Drosophila melanogaster: one gene and its partner. The gene in region 1 interacts genetically with each later gene. Each region holds a gene or a part of one and is shown on either strand. Other genes may lie near its edges.

Region 1 (9,165 bases):
CGTTTCGACATCCCCGTACAATTGGACGTACTTAATATCAAATTGTGATTTGTACTTATTTTCAGTCGAATGCGTCAATAGTGAAATTGAAATTGATTTCTTCCTAGTATGTGCATCAATTTCTCTACTACTTGACACTATTGACACCAAACTACTGGGAATGTTAAAAATCTGAAGAATTATGTAAGCCAAACAGGTAACGTGTTTAGGACTCAATAAAAATGTCATTACCCAATGGTTGGTACAAAACGTATGGAGTGTTGGCATGTTAATGACTCTATTCGTGTAACGCTATATTAAAAATCCGAAAAGAAATCGCACTGACAACTAGAAAACAGCAAATGAGGCTGAAAAATTCGCATAAATTACCGAAAACTGCAGACAAGAACAGGAAGATGTACCTCCGCGGCCCCAAAGATACAAAACAAGCGCGAAAGAAAGAAAACTAATTAAACCATAGACTTATAAATTAAGTAGTTTCAGTAGCCGCTCTTGTTGTTGTTGTTGTTGTTGTTGCGTTCCCCCCCTAGCCAAAGTCAAGAAACTTTCATTGGCAGACGAAAGTGTGCGCAATAAAGAAATTAACAGTAAGCAGCGGTTGCATGGAGAGGGGTATCCAGCAGATACAGATACTTCGCCCCACCTCGTCTTGCCCCATCTGGCGCACACTCTTGGCGCAATTTTAGTTGTAGTCACTTTTCGTTCGTTGGTTCGTTTTTGTTTTATGAAAGCTGCAAGAAATAAAAACTCCGCCAAATGTACGGAGCGTGGCCGCATTAAAAGTTCGCGCCGTGGAGCGTTTTCTTGTTGTTGCTTCAGTTTTAACCCGCCGCGGAGTCAGACGGCCCAGTTGGGCAATTTTGAAAACCATAAAGTGCGCTTTCAAAACGGCAAAAATATAGGAGAGCTATGTAAGTGGAGCTAAGCGTGTGGAGATCCACAACCACGCTCGACAGTATGATTCCGAATTACACTTTTGCCACTTTTAATTGTTGCCACTGCAACTGCTGACGATGGCTGGCCGTTTCTAATCGTACTCATACTGCTTCTGCTGTTGCGCCAACAGTTGCCAAAAATGTGGCCAAAACGACTACGGCCCAAAGATTATGATTATAATCCGCATTTATTCCTAAATTTAGTTCGTTTTGCACATACGTTTGCCGTGAAAATTGCGGCATGCAAGCCAGTGATGCGATAAACACGGCGTCTAGCCCATTAAATTCCACGCTTATCATGTGAACAGCACCGATAATTATTGAATTAAAACTAATTGATGGACTACAAGCCGCTCCTGACCCAACTTGAATCTAAACTAGCAATTTAACAATGGAGCTCAGAAAAAAAAGTTCATAACACACATTAAAGTAATTGAGAAACAGTTCTCTATTTGAGTTTGCTAAACCAAAATATATTATAGTTGACAATATTCTAGATTTTATATTGTATATGCAGAATATATATATATATTAATACTTAAGATGCAAATAAATTCGAATGAATTCGAAATTTAAAATGAAATAAACTCCGCCTGTTTCTATTCTATTAACCCCCCATTAAACCTTCGAGTTTCACTACACATTTATTTAGTTTGCATCTTGGGTTTACATTAAAAGCTCTACGCGTGTACAAAATCGATAAGTATTTGCAGGCTTCTATGTGCCCCAGAATGTCTCCATTATGCCCCACGAGGCTCGCTCGTCGCAGGTATAAAATATATAATTTGCGTTATAATTGCTCTGTGATATTGCTGGTTGCACAGTGCGGAGGGGGCAAGGGGCGGTAGGTGGCTTCTTGGCATTCGCTTTTCTGGTACAAAAATCCATCAGCTTCGCAGCAACTTACTTGAGCTGCACCAGCACCATAAAGTAGGTGACGACGGCACCCAGAACCTGCGAATCGGGAATATCCGATTCAGTTTTAACTCCATCAATAGATCAATAAATCAAATGCAACAAACCGAAGCAAACAAATCCAGGGAGACGGTGAAGAATTTCGCTCCCGATATGCTCATCGCCTTCTGGCACTGCTGGCACACGATCTGGACGAAGGTCTTGGCCTCCTCGGAGCCATCGTACCAGTGGCACGAGTAGGCGGCCTCCATGACGGATGAACTCTGCGAAATGAAAGTCGTATTAAGGATGCTCTAGATAACTAACTACACAAACTATAACTATAACAACGTTTAGAACTATGTATGTTTCCCAATCTATAAACTTGAAAACATTGGTTCAATTTTATCTCATACGCAAAAACACCCTTTTATTTCTACCACATGGAAAAAACACACTGGTTAGCTTGTAGTGAACGGACCAATCTGTTGACTCTCAACTTACAATTCATTTAGTTTTAATGAAGTCTCAAAATTTTTTATAAATATCCCTATAACTCAAATAAGGATGTTCTCGATTATTAATCAGTTGAGACTGATGTCTGATTTACTTATAAATTTATCTTGCAACCCTGCACAAACTCACCTCTTCAATCAGACGATTGCCAAAGATGCAAAAGTGGAACACCTGGGCCAGCGCGTATCCTAGGTATCCGACGACTGTGAAGGCGTAGACATTCACTCCGTTGATTTTGGTGGCCTGGTATGCCAGCAGGGTCAGCTTGATGGTCGAGGTCAGCATGTGGAGGAGGAGGGCGGCTCCGTAAGTATCGCCGATGGCAGCCACCAGTCTGTGGGGAAAAGGCAACGGGGGAAAGGATGAGGGATTGCAGGCAGGAATCAAGTCAATATTGGTATCAACAACTGCACACGCCAACTGTCGGACAGGACAAACAAGGACATTCCTCTAGGGCCCCCAACAATGATTGCAATTGAGGAAGTAATCAAGTAAGTCAAACAAGCTGCAGGGATCTGTTGAGCTCCTAATAAATGAGAACACATGTTCCGATGGCGCCTATTGAAGTTTTACAAAACTGAGGGGAAAGTGTGTGTGTTTATTATGTTCGGTGCTCTGTTAAAGGCAAAAATCCAAGTCCATGAAATATGAGTGGACTGCTCTGCCATTTAAATCGCCAAAAATCCAATCATCACTGGCCAAAGCCCCCTTGAAATGGCTGGTCCAATTTGGCCAGGATTTGAACTCACCGCACCACGTGCTTGTGCCGCTCGACCCAGTACTTGATGGCACTGCGCACCATCATCTCCTGCTTTTTGGTCAGCCCGTTGGGATTAGCGCCGTTCACCAACCCGTTGCCTCCGCCCCCGTTCCCGCCAAAGGACTGCAGTGTCGAGGGTGCTCGAAACTGAGCGCCCCAATCCGCTTTCGAGCTGTAGATGCCCGACATGTCCATGTCGGTGCCGGGATCCTTTTCTGCAATGGAAAAACAGCTCGTCATGGCATTTTCCTATTCAGTGAAGTGCTCACTGAATAACCGCCTAAAAGTTTAGGTTCAGACTCAACAAATCACCTTCATTATGAATTAGCTCCGACTTGGAGTTGGCCGACAGGGACCTGAAGAGGGCCGCCGAGTTGGGCCTGTAGGTGTCCAGCGAGGCGGACAGCTCCATCAGCGGCTTCATGATGCCCTTCAAGTGCTGCAGCTGCTCGCAGGCGAATATCAGCCAAGAGCAGAACATCACGTCGCATAGATTGGAGTGGATCATCGAGAAGAGCACGTAGTAGATCTGAAAGGCAAAGCTGATCATGTAGAACATGCCGTGGCTGGCGTTCCACGGGTAGAAGGACTTAATCGGCAGCCGGGGTATCTCCACCGGGATGCTGGAGTTCGTCTCATGGTCCACCACCATTTTTACGCTGTCGCCAAAGAAGGTGATCGTGGTCCAGGCGGTGGCCGAGGCGACTGTGGTCAGCATCACCAGAAAGAACAGCTTCCTCATCTTCGCCAGTGCGATCGAATGGTAACGAGCATCCGACTCGGCGAACAAGGGATGCGTGTTCACCTGGTTCCATATATTCAATGTTCTGCCGGAAAAACATAAAATTTTAAATTCCCCAAGTGTTCGTAAGCTCGGTGCGGTGAGCAGAGGCTCACCTGTAGAAATTCTTCTGGTTAACAGCCAGGTAGATAAACTTCGTGATGCAGTGGGTGAAGAAGAGGGTCGTGATCGTGTTGCCCGACAGCTCGTTGACCTCCTCGGCGTTCAGGGCCATGTTGACCAGGATGAAGGTGAACTGCATGAGGAGGAACACCAGGTGCACGGAGGAGTACACCTTCTTCATGAAGGCACTGCCGCCCGTGAAGTTGTGCATGAACAGGCCGGAGTACTTCATCGCCCGGATGTTGGGCATCAGGTCGGCGACCAGGCCCGTGTACTTGCTCGGCTGCATCGAGGTTGTCATCCTGTTGAGCGGCGGAAATTGCACGACAAAATTAATAGGTTTCGCCAACACAATCAGCTATTATGAACGTAATCTGTTCAATATTCCGTATTTGTGATTAGTCCTTGGTTTGCTTGCCGAGTAGAAAAGGAATTTTCCTGCCCGAAATGAATCGATTTGGAATGTTTTATTCATAGCGGGATAATGTATAATGCATATTGAATATTCAGGTGGACTCATGTCCTCTCAAATTAATATTAATTTGGCTATCGATCGTGAGTTATTAAATTCGGAATGTGGAACAATTGTGTACGATATATGGTTCTCTAATTGGTAATATTGTAATATTGAAAGACCCAGTGCTATTACCTTGCTATTGAACTTTAAAAATACAAATGTAATTGTTGTCTGGTACACTTGGGTTAATTGAGTGCCAGTAATGCAGCAATCATCTAGGCAATCATTTCACTCTTTAAGGCTTAACCGGGATACTTTAAGATACGAGATATGAGGCTTTCCGGAACCAGGACACAGTTGACCTGCCAGCACCGCGATGTCGACGGTAATGAAATGTGAAATCCGGAAGGTTAAAAAGCTCTGTCGACAAGTGCCTGCTCCTTCTGTCGGCTAGGTACTTGCTCCGCTGTACATAAGGACGTGTACTTTGAGGACGAGTTCCCACGGCTGCAACAAGGCCACATTAAATCCTAGCCCGCGACTTTCACTCCGACCCACACATGGTAATGAAAATATACAATATGGGTATCGGGCCGCCTTGGAGCGCTTAAAAATTCAGCTCTTCAGCCACGTCCATCGATGTGATGGGTGCGTGGCAGACGCAGAATTCCCACAATTAAATCGAACGCCCACGAACTTGTCCACCACTGCTGTCGTCTCCGGGTCTAGGACTCCGCTTTTGGGCCATGGGCCATGGCCCAGTCCTGTGCCCTCCACGCGGCGTATGCGCACTGGCGGAATGGCACTGGGACTGGAGATGGGCTCATCCTTGCGCGGCATCTGCGGTATCCAAACTTATGCAAATTTTAAAAGCATCGATTATTTTATTATGCCTGCTTGTATTTGTTGGCCTGCCCCAAGTGCCGCTGAGATATGGGGATAGGCCATTCCTCAGCCAACCCATTTGGTGGGGATCCCTCCGTGAATCGCTGACCCAAAAAAATAACACATTGCCTATTTGCATGAAAATGTGTGTGTTCAGCCTGATGGATATTTGGTCCTTGCTCAATTTTTTTCGTTCTCAGTTCTCATAGGCACTGAATTTCGGTAGGCGGGGGCCTTCAAAAGAAGTCTTAAATTGGGTTGCCATTATATATTATGAATACTTACAATTCTTTGCAATTATAATACAGTAGAATTTAAATAATTAATACTCTATCTCAAGGTCGTACAAGTGGCCTTCGAAATCAGTTAGGTAATATACATGTAGGCAATTAATAAAACAATTGTCTAATTCAAAATCTAGTACTCAAATTGCAACGCAAACGAAATTGCTGAGCAGTGTATTGAATGCTAATCGAAAACATCCAATTTAGTTATTCGAAACTAGTTGTGACAATATTAAAACGTGGCAAGAACAAAAAGCGGCGACTATTGTGAATAACTGAATCACACTTAAAACTATGTGCCGGAATGTAAATGTATCTGTGTCTGTAGCTATATCTGCAGCTAGTTTCCACCACTCATATACACATATGCATACATATATGAATGGGAACTCAGACACAGATGTCCCAAATCATGGATTATTTAAATGCAGGACACTCACGAACATCAATTAATACGTGAACACTTGCCTGTGTGGATTGCGGGGATGCGAGCGGGGATTTAACAATATTGATTTAACGTTTAATCGTCCTGAACTCAGCCATGCGAAACAAGCCCCCCCCCCCTAAATGTTGCCCCTTTCGGTCCTTCGCTTTTTGATTTATTTTATGGGCTTGTGGCTGAAAGTTTAATTACGCGGATGCGTTTGGATCAATTAGCTAACCGCGGACATCGTGAGCCCTGCAGCCTTTTGTCATTAATTATTAGGCAACATTTAAATGGAAAGTGACACTTGCTTTATTTAATTTACAACTTAAACAAATGAGCCTTTATTTTTACCATTACGCTTTTGTGTTCGTGACTGTGATCGATTCTGATGCCAAATTAAATGATTAAAACGCACTAATGGGTTAATAAAGTCACATTAACTAGAAATTATATATTTATATAATTATTATTAAGCGCTTTCCATATGAAATGATATACCCGAAGTATAGGCAACATTATTTTGATTCACACCTTTATGGCCGCATTTCAGCCAAAACCAAATGATTTCCATTAGGTCGTCCACAGGATCTCTACATAAAATACCGCAAGTTGTAAAACAATAAAAACTCAAAAATAAGCATATAAAGTTATTCAAGCAATCCATCAAATCGCCCATAAATTGCGAAATCAATGCGACACACACACACACACACACGCACACATTATAAAAACCTCTTTGGGGCGCAAAGCCGACGAAGGAAAAATTAGAAATCAATACCCAGCAAGGACAGAAAAATCTGTTAAGTGACAAACAAAAACGGCGAGAACACCAATTGCGTGTGAGTGCGTGAGTCCGTGTGTGCGAGGTCCTCTCTCTCCCATCCTGCTGCTTGGCTGTGTGCGTAAGTGCCAGCATCAGGAGCAATTCCTTTATTTTCGGACCGCCGTGGCCCTCGACCTACAGAAGGCTTTTACCAGAATTTATGGCTATGCATAACCGACTTGGAAAAACAACAGACGATCGAAAATACATATAAATAAGTGCGTGGGGTGTGTGCCACATTCGGTTTCATAGTGTGCGAGTGGTCTATATGTGTGTGTGTGTGTGCGTGTGCTTTCTTCAGGCCATTAGGGGAGCAAAAGAAATGTTGACATTGTCATAAGAATGGAAAAGAATGGCAGAGAAATGCGGGAAATGCGAACAACAGCGAAAAGCGCAAGAATTATTATTATTTATTCCCGGGTTTTATAAGATTTCGGTAGAGGTGCTGGGCGCTCATAAATCCAATCCTTATACATCGCACAGTAGTACACATGGAGAAATTGCTGGTGTACAATTTCAGAAAGATTTTTCAGCCAGAAAGTTTATATATCGCCAGTTTAGTTTAAAACAATATAACTGAATATGAAATTGTAATTGACAGAATAGGAAATGTCTTAATTTGTTTTCGGCGGTATATATATATTTAACGAATGCATTAGTATTTAGTTAATCATAAAAAATGTATGCTCATATTTTATGACTTTTGTTTTAAATTGTCAATATTTCTCAGCAGAAATAATTAGTATTTCACTGAGCTATGACCGAAGCAATTTCTCTCAGTGCACTTGTCTGCGTGCCAGTGTCACTTCTTCTGTTGCCGCTGACAGGGCGACAGATTCCAACCGGAAGTCGAGGGAGTCGGAAGGAAGTGCCTTCGTGGCTGCTCGCCGAGACAGTGTCAAAAGTTTAACTTTAGATTTATTTGCCATTTAATGCCGCTGCTCCCTTTCCCAGAACTGCAGCACGGCCAGGAGTTATAGGGGAGTTGTAAATCTCTCAGCTGTCTAAGCAGGTCAATGCATTTGGCTTTCACAATGGAATTGCAACAGGATCCCCGCCCCCACAGCTGTCCGCATAAAGGACATTCAGGACTAGTGTGAGGTTTGTTTGTTTGCCGCCTGCCACAAAGTTGTCAACGCGGCAACTAAACGAGTTTTGGTCTTGTGGTGTTCTATATTAGTCTGTAGGGTGTTCGTTTCGTTGGAGTGCTTTCTTTGTTATCCTTCTGCCCGAAATTCGAAGTTGTTCTCCCACGCGAGAGCATGCGCAGGGAGAGTTAAATCTGAGATGGCTCAGCTCCACGAGTTTAAAATTATAAGAGACGCTGTGGCAAGACGTTGCCACTCTTTCGGCAATTATGTAAAAGCATGAGGTGCATTAAATATGCCTATATAACGTGTGGAAGATTAAAATACAAATATTATTTGAATATCGATATAAGTTGGCTCAGTAGTAGTATTAATAGAATCTATAATAATCATGTGATTAGAATTTGCATGCTTAATTTTAAGTGTCTTGCCTAATTTTTATTTTCATACGGATAAAAATGTGCAAATCGATAGTGATAGCTATTAAAATAATAATAATTCTAAGCTTAATTTTATATTGTTGCACTTCTGCTTAGATACCATTTTGGGTTCTCTCTTATATATATATGTATATAATATTTAATTTTTAAGGACGTGTTCCATTTTATATTTAAAGGCATAGCAATCTGAACCATCTGGCAGCTTCAGCAACTCACGTGCATTATCTGTGGCTCGTTGAGCCTGTGAAATGCAACAAGAGAAGTGACTCGCCATCTGAGAGCTCTCTCTCTCTCTCTCGCTCTCGAAGGACTCGTTCCTTGCTCTTTGCAGAGATTCGTATAAGAAAATCTCTCCTCAGCAGAGGAGAGCAGGGCAGAGGAGAGCAGCACAGCAGAAACCACAGACACTGTTACGGGATCCGCATTTTGGCCAGGACGAAGCGAGCGTGGCGACGAACGACAGCCAATGGCTTCTATTGGGAGCCAGTCAAACATGGTCCATCGACGGGAGATGAACAGCACCGAGAGCAGCATCCGCCAGCAGATTCGCAAGCCAGTTCGCTGCCAGAAGCCAAAACCCAAGGCAAAGCCAGCCGAACCGGGCCAATTCTAGGGGAACGCGTGTGTGTGAAGGTAGTGAAGTGAAACAAACGTGGACGCGAGTGTGTGTGCCAGTGCCAGTGTGTTGTCCAAGGACCTCATCGCCCTCCGCCCACTTGAAGTCAGACAACGACAAAGGTCCACTCGTTCGG
Region 2 (5,602 bases), 670 kb from region 1:
CTTTGAAATATCCTTCCCCGTCTCCGTCGTAACAGATATCAGATAGTCAATACAATACTCGCCTCCAGTATTCCGCCTTCTTTGTATTGGGTTTTAAAGCCTTTGATTTTAGGCCTGTTTGTATTTGTATCCAAATGATGTACAGCATCACCTCTACTTTTGAGTGTTATACTGGCCATAAACAAACAACCGCTCAACCCTTTGCGGCCATAATTTAGCGTAATTAAATAGCGCATGAAAAATGAGTAAATTATGGAATGCGAAGCGGTCGTAAATCTGAATCCAAGAGGTCGATGAGTCCGCTGACCAAACTGTTGCTCTGGTCCTTTCTGTCCTTTCGACTGTTGATTTTATTAAAATCATTTCGTTTTTATAGTCGCTGGGTGGCGGAAGGTCCGTACAACAACGGTGTACTTAATTACGACTGCATTATAACGACGTTACAATTATTGTTATTATTTTTTATCCAAGCATCCGGGCCATTGTCCCGACCACATTTATAAAATGCCCATTATTCATGGCCTGGTCAGGAGCTATTAATGTCCGCCGGCCAAATATCGGGGAAGTGAACGCACCATTTCAAAATAAATTAAATTTTTATGCGTGTATGCGAAATGTATTAAATGTTTTGTGCATAAGAAACTCCCCTTAATGAGACGCACAATTAATGTTTTCGAGTCGGGGCTCCATAAACCGATGCCATAAATTCAGCTCTGTGTGTTGGTAATTAGTGGCCAAGGTTAATGGCAGCAGAAAAAATCCCGACGACGAGTTCATCAGGAGCAAAGTGGGAGAAGAGCATTTCAAAGTTGGCTGAATAAAATTTGTAAGCTGATTCCGGGCTAACATTTGGATTAACCAAAAGTTTTAATAGTAATAGTATAGGCGATTGGTGGGCGTGGCAATTTCTGAATCAAATTTGAACTACGTGGGTGCGTCTGAGTGCATAAACTAGCTTTTGTAATTCCCACTAGCTAATGGTCCTGATTGAGAAAAAATACTTTCTATACTGCATGCATACTGTTCAACGAATCTAAAAACTCGCATATCTCTTTAGAATTATTGTGTATCAAGATATTGTGTAATGCGTGTCAGATTTTTTTTTTTTTAGTGTTCTCTGTCTTCTACGCCCGATTCATCATCATCATGGATACGCTATAAATTAGTTTAACAATCTAAAAGTATACGAAAATCCAATGTGGTATTATAAACTAAAAGCCCACTTACTCACCTGCAGAGCCGTTCTCACGGAAAGCGACATAACTCCAAGTATCTGAATATTGTGCGGATACTGGGATTCCCGCAACAAAAAACCAAAAAGCTTTCGCTGTTCGCCACTCAACTCATACCAGGTCACATTACAGATGCTCTCGTACACCTGGTCATACTGTTGAAGACAAATAAGAATGCGTAAGAACTAAGTGCTCATAGACTTAATTTTACTAAAGCTCACTGCAAACTCAAGAATGGTGCCCAGAATGCAATAGATGGACATGCTGTAGGCAGAAACCACGAAAAAGATAGCCGAAGGCATGTGAAAGCTGCTCAAATTAATGCAGAAGCTGAGCATCATGGCCAAAGCCATCGAAAGAACCTGAGTGGCGATCAATTCGTAGTAGAGGGCATTTATGGCGCGACAGTAGCTAAATGTATGGGAGAAATGACATATGATAAGCCGTTCCTTTTTGATTTTATTTATTTTTTAAAAGGAGAAATTAAGTGTTTCTTACTCCGTGAATAATTGATGCCATCTTATAACATCCAAGAGAAGGCGTTGACGATTTTCCGCTCCATCAATAGAAGCTCCAACTCGGACTAGAGCTCTGTATTCCGCTTTTTGTTCCAGGGCATCGTTTAGCTCTTTCACCTTCACCTGCAGCATATCGGCGAAAGTTAGGATCTGCGTTAAGCCGAGAAATACGAACAAATCACCGGAGTAGAATCCGACTCCTTGCACGAGCATTGTCACCTGCAATCGACGAAAATAACTTGGTTAGGAGAGGGAGGAAGTGTTGACAGAATCTCAACAGCTTTAGTGGCTCCTACCGTCTGAATCATGTACGTGACTACGTAGCAATAATTGTTCTCAAGCGGTAGACCCGGAATTAAATACTGCATCGCAGTAACCCGGGTTCCATCGTACATTAGCATGGCCAATGGCAGGAGTTCCATCAAACAAAAAGCGAATACATATCCGTTTCGAATGATCTTCATGATGCCGAGGAGTCGATCTATGTTCGAATTCAAGGTCCTGTGGTAGGAATCTCCCCGAGTCTCGTATTCATCGTAAATGCTTTGTGAGTAAAGGACCAGACGTCTCATGTCTTGATGCTTCAGCAGACAAGTCAGGAACTTCCCGAGTCCGTGGAATAGCCCACCAGTCATAAGACTGGCCTTCAGTCCCACCCTCCAGTCACCGCCATTATTTAGTATAGTAAATACCGTGAAGCCAGTATAGTTGGCGATTGCAAAGATCGTGGTCCAGGTGCGATAATTAAATTTCAATTTGGGCGAAAGAAAATCCACGCCAAGTAAATTAGTCAAACTATTGATGTACTTGGATAGTTCGCGAAAGCGACTTGAAGGACTTTCAGAAGTACTCATTGTGATGGAACTGAATTAATCCTCCAGTTTTTCCCCTTTTATACGAAAACATTTGTTTTCACAGCGGGACTGCAAATGTCACTGCAATTATCATAAGTTGCAAGTAATTTTGTCATTATCTACTTTAATTGTTGTACTATTTGCTTTGTGAAATTACAAGATTTGAGTTGTCCATCTGGGAACATACATATGTACCTATTCTTGATTCAGAGTGAATTAATGTATCTGCTTTCCTTCTATATAAGGTTATACTAGGTTCCTTAAAATGTATGTTCGATGTTCTTCATTCTAATGCGTTAAGGAGCTCAATAACTTAATGCTTTAAAGATATCCTCATGCCTAGGAAATTCACATTGTTTGCATGCTCATAATTACTGCACATTGGGGAATTTTAAAAGTGTTCTGCCGAAGTAAGGAAACCGCAGAATTAACACAATAAAATTCCCTATCCCTTTGTTTCCCCCCGTATTAGTGGGTGGGAAGGTGGCCACCTTTCGCATACAATTAATCCCCTTTTGTTTCGAAAGTCCTCCGATGGCATTCATCATACGCACTGTTGTCTAATACACTTCAGAGTGCGGAACGTTATTATTCAGAGCCCTTTGGATGGCCTGGCGGGTATATATGCACTAGTTCATTGTGTGCTTTTTGTTATTAATTTCCAAGCTATAAATTTTGCTTTGCCACATTTCTAAAGGCTGATCCCAACTAAAACTACCCACTTGTACTTGGGCCTGAGAATGTGTAAGTCGGCAGGGGGAATGGAGAGTGGTTTGGCAACTCACCTTTTCCACGCTCGAACAGATTTCGGTTTTTGTCTGCGGTATTTTGTTATTCTGGCCGATCCAGCAGCTCCACCTTCCATCTGCTGCATCTTTTGTTTATGCCTCACAATGGCCTGCCGCAGGTTTTTACTGCCTTCCATTGTGTTTCTGCCTGTGTGTGTGTTTGATTTCTGAACCCCTTACAGGGGTATGCTGAGTTTTGGCATACACATAAACTTGAAAAGATATAGAACACAAATATGAACTTATAAGCTCGAAAAGGTAAGCGGTTTCGCATCAACAGAAACGCACTTAGGTATGCAACATATGTTTAAAATATAAAATTAATAACTTGGTATCCCATAGTCGCAATACTCGACTTTGTACTTCTTACGTTTCCTCCTATGTTTTTTGTTTTCCTTGGCTGCCTGCCTATAAAATGCAATGGAATTTCATATTGTGCGAGTATATATCGGCATCAACATAATGCTCTCGGATAATATTCCCTGGCATTTTTGCGCTGCGGCACGTAAAAAATGCAGGCTATACATACTCAAACCCATGCCTGGGCGTTTGATGTTTAATCAATTGAAAATGCGAGTGTGTGCCATTGATGGTCGACGTCGTGCCCGCCCCCCGATTTCCCGAAAACTTGGCGCCTCAACTTGTCTGCCTGACGGCCTGCATTATGCCCCTGGCGCGGTGGCATGGCGTGGCATCATGGTGGTGTGACCTAAGCCAGGGTCGGATTTCTAGCCTGACTTCCGCATCGACCCGACGGCTGTTTGCGGAGCTCAAACTGCAAACTGCTAACTGCAGGTGGCTCTTAAGACGCGCTCTCTGGAAAAACATTAGCAAGATTGCAAGGTGCGTGTGCGGTGCCACACACACACCCACACCTACTTGCTTCCACATCCACTTCCTTATTGAAAGGGAATTGAACGCTCGACTTGCAGGACGGCTTCCTTTCGCAGGATTCGCCTTTGCTGCTTGCCGCCTGAATGGCACAAAGAGGAATAAAAATTACAATATCGCCGTTGCCGCCGACGATGCAATGGAAATGGAAGGCAAACAACAGGCCCAACTACAGCCACTACTGCACGGAAGAAATGGATGGGAATCGGGGTACGTTATTTAGAGGGAATAAATATTTTCCTAAGAAGTTGTTTATTTTGTTTAAGAGCAATTAAAATCTATAATTTCACACAAGTTTATGTTAATTGATACGTATGATTAAATATGTTTAAAAATTACTTTTCAATGGTCCCCGTCGTAAGTCCTAGTTTTTCGCGCAGTGCAAAACACAAAAAGGAAAGTGCAGAGCCTTAAGCTGCCTATAGAGGCATTCATGCGTTTGTGTGAGAGCGTGCGTGTGTGTGTGTGTGCGTGGGAGAGTGTTTCTTGTATTGAAACTTCCTTTAATGGCTTCCGGTTATCATTATTGGCACAAGGCATTGTCCGACCCTCTCCTGCGGCTGCGTGTCTATAAAGATTAAACGCATTGTTCTTTGTTGATTCTTTCCATCATGCAAAGAAATTAATATTCGCAATCCATTATCATTCCTAATAGCCCGCATACGAGCGTACACCCACAAAGCGGCATATTTAATAACCCTAATGGGCGGCTTAAAGCCTTAAAGCGAGTGGCCTTTGCCCAGTGTCCCACTGCCTCTCGATGATACATAATCAATCAGTCGAACGCTTTAAGCTGCCGACTAATATGCAGCACGACGACCCAGTCGGGGCAATATCTTTAAGTGTCCTTGCTACTGGTGCCCAGATACACACATTGATAGATGGGCGGACCCCGGTACGTCAGCGTCATTCTCTTCGGCTAATGATGACAAATTTTTTATGGGCATTATGAGCGGCAGTGACTTAAAGCGTGTGGGAATGCTCGAGAAAGGCACCGGAAACGAAATATGTTCTCAAAAGTCTCATTTGGAATTTACAAATAATTGGAGTGATTTGCGGACTGAGGTGTTGTAGTTTTTTAACTAAGTAACATCCTGTATTTATTTAAACAATTATTATTATCCGAGCATTGAACAATGAACAAAATGGAGTTTTCTCGCTGTGTGAGCCTACAATTGTGGGGGAGTTGTCTGTTGCCTGTTCCGCTTTTTGCTCCGTCCCGTTGGCCAACCCTTGGTCAGCCTGGGCTCTTTATTAATTTGACAGCATCAACAGGAGCTGGCTGACTTGGCACGCTAATGATTGAAATGAACTCCGGC

What was found. A genetic interaction does not mean that the proteins touch.
Region 2: of Orco (region 1) and Or83c, changing one suppresses a phenotype caused by changing the other (phenotypic suppression), as found in Drosophila melanogaster (one study listed by BioGRID).

The regions. Positions count from the first base shown.
Region 1 is NT_033777.3:5,405,614-5,414,778, forward strand, and holds Orco (odorant receptor co-receptor), read right to left. Parts: upstream 6,794-9,165; 5' UTR 6,782-6,793; intron 4,857-6,781; exon of another isoform or gene 4,659-4,856; intron 4,312-4,658; 5' UTR 4,311-4,311; coding exon 4,003-4,310; intron 3,933-4,002; coding exon 3,418-3,932; intron 3,321-3,417; coding exon 3,095-3,320; intron 2,680-3,094; coding exon 2,475-2,679; intron 2,114-2,474; coding exon 1,958-2,113; intron 1,890-1,957; coding exon 1,839-1,889; 3' UTR 1,570-1,838; downstream 1-1,569. UniProt on the Drosophila melanogaster protein: Odorant coreceptor which complexes with conventional odorant receptors (ORs) to form odorant-sensing units, providing sensitive and prolonged odorant signaling and calcium permeability.
Region 2 is NT_033777.3:6,075,680-6,081,281, forward strand, and holds Or83c (odorant receptor 83c), read right to left. Parts: upstream 2,605-5,602; coding exon 2,047-2,604; intron 1,970-2,046; coding exon 1,731-1,969; intron 1,644-1,730; coding exon 1,454-1,643; intron 1,388-1,453; coding exon 1,232-1,387; intron 1,176-1,231; coding exon 1,125-1,175; downstream 1-1,124. UniProt on the Drosophila melanogaster protein: Odorant receptor which mediates acceptance or avoidance behavior, depending on its substrates. The odorant receptor repertoire encodes a large collection of odor stimuli that vary widely in identity, intensity, and duration.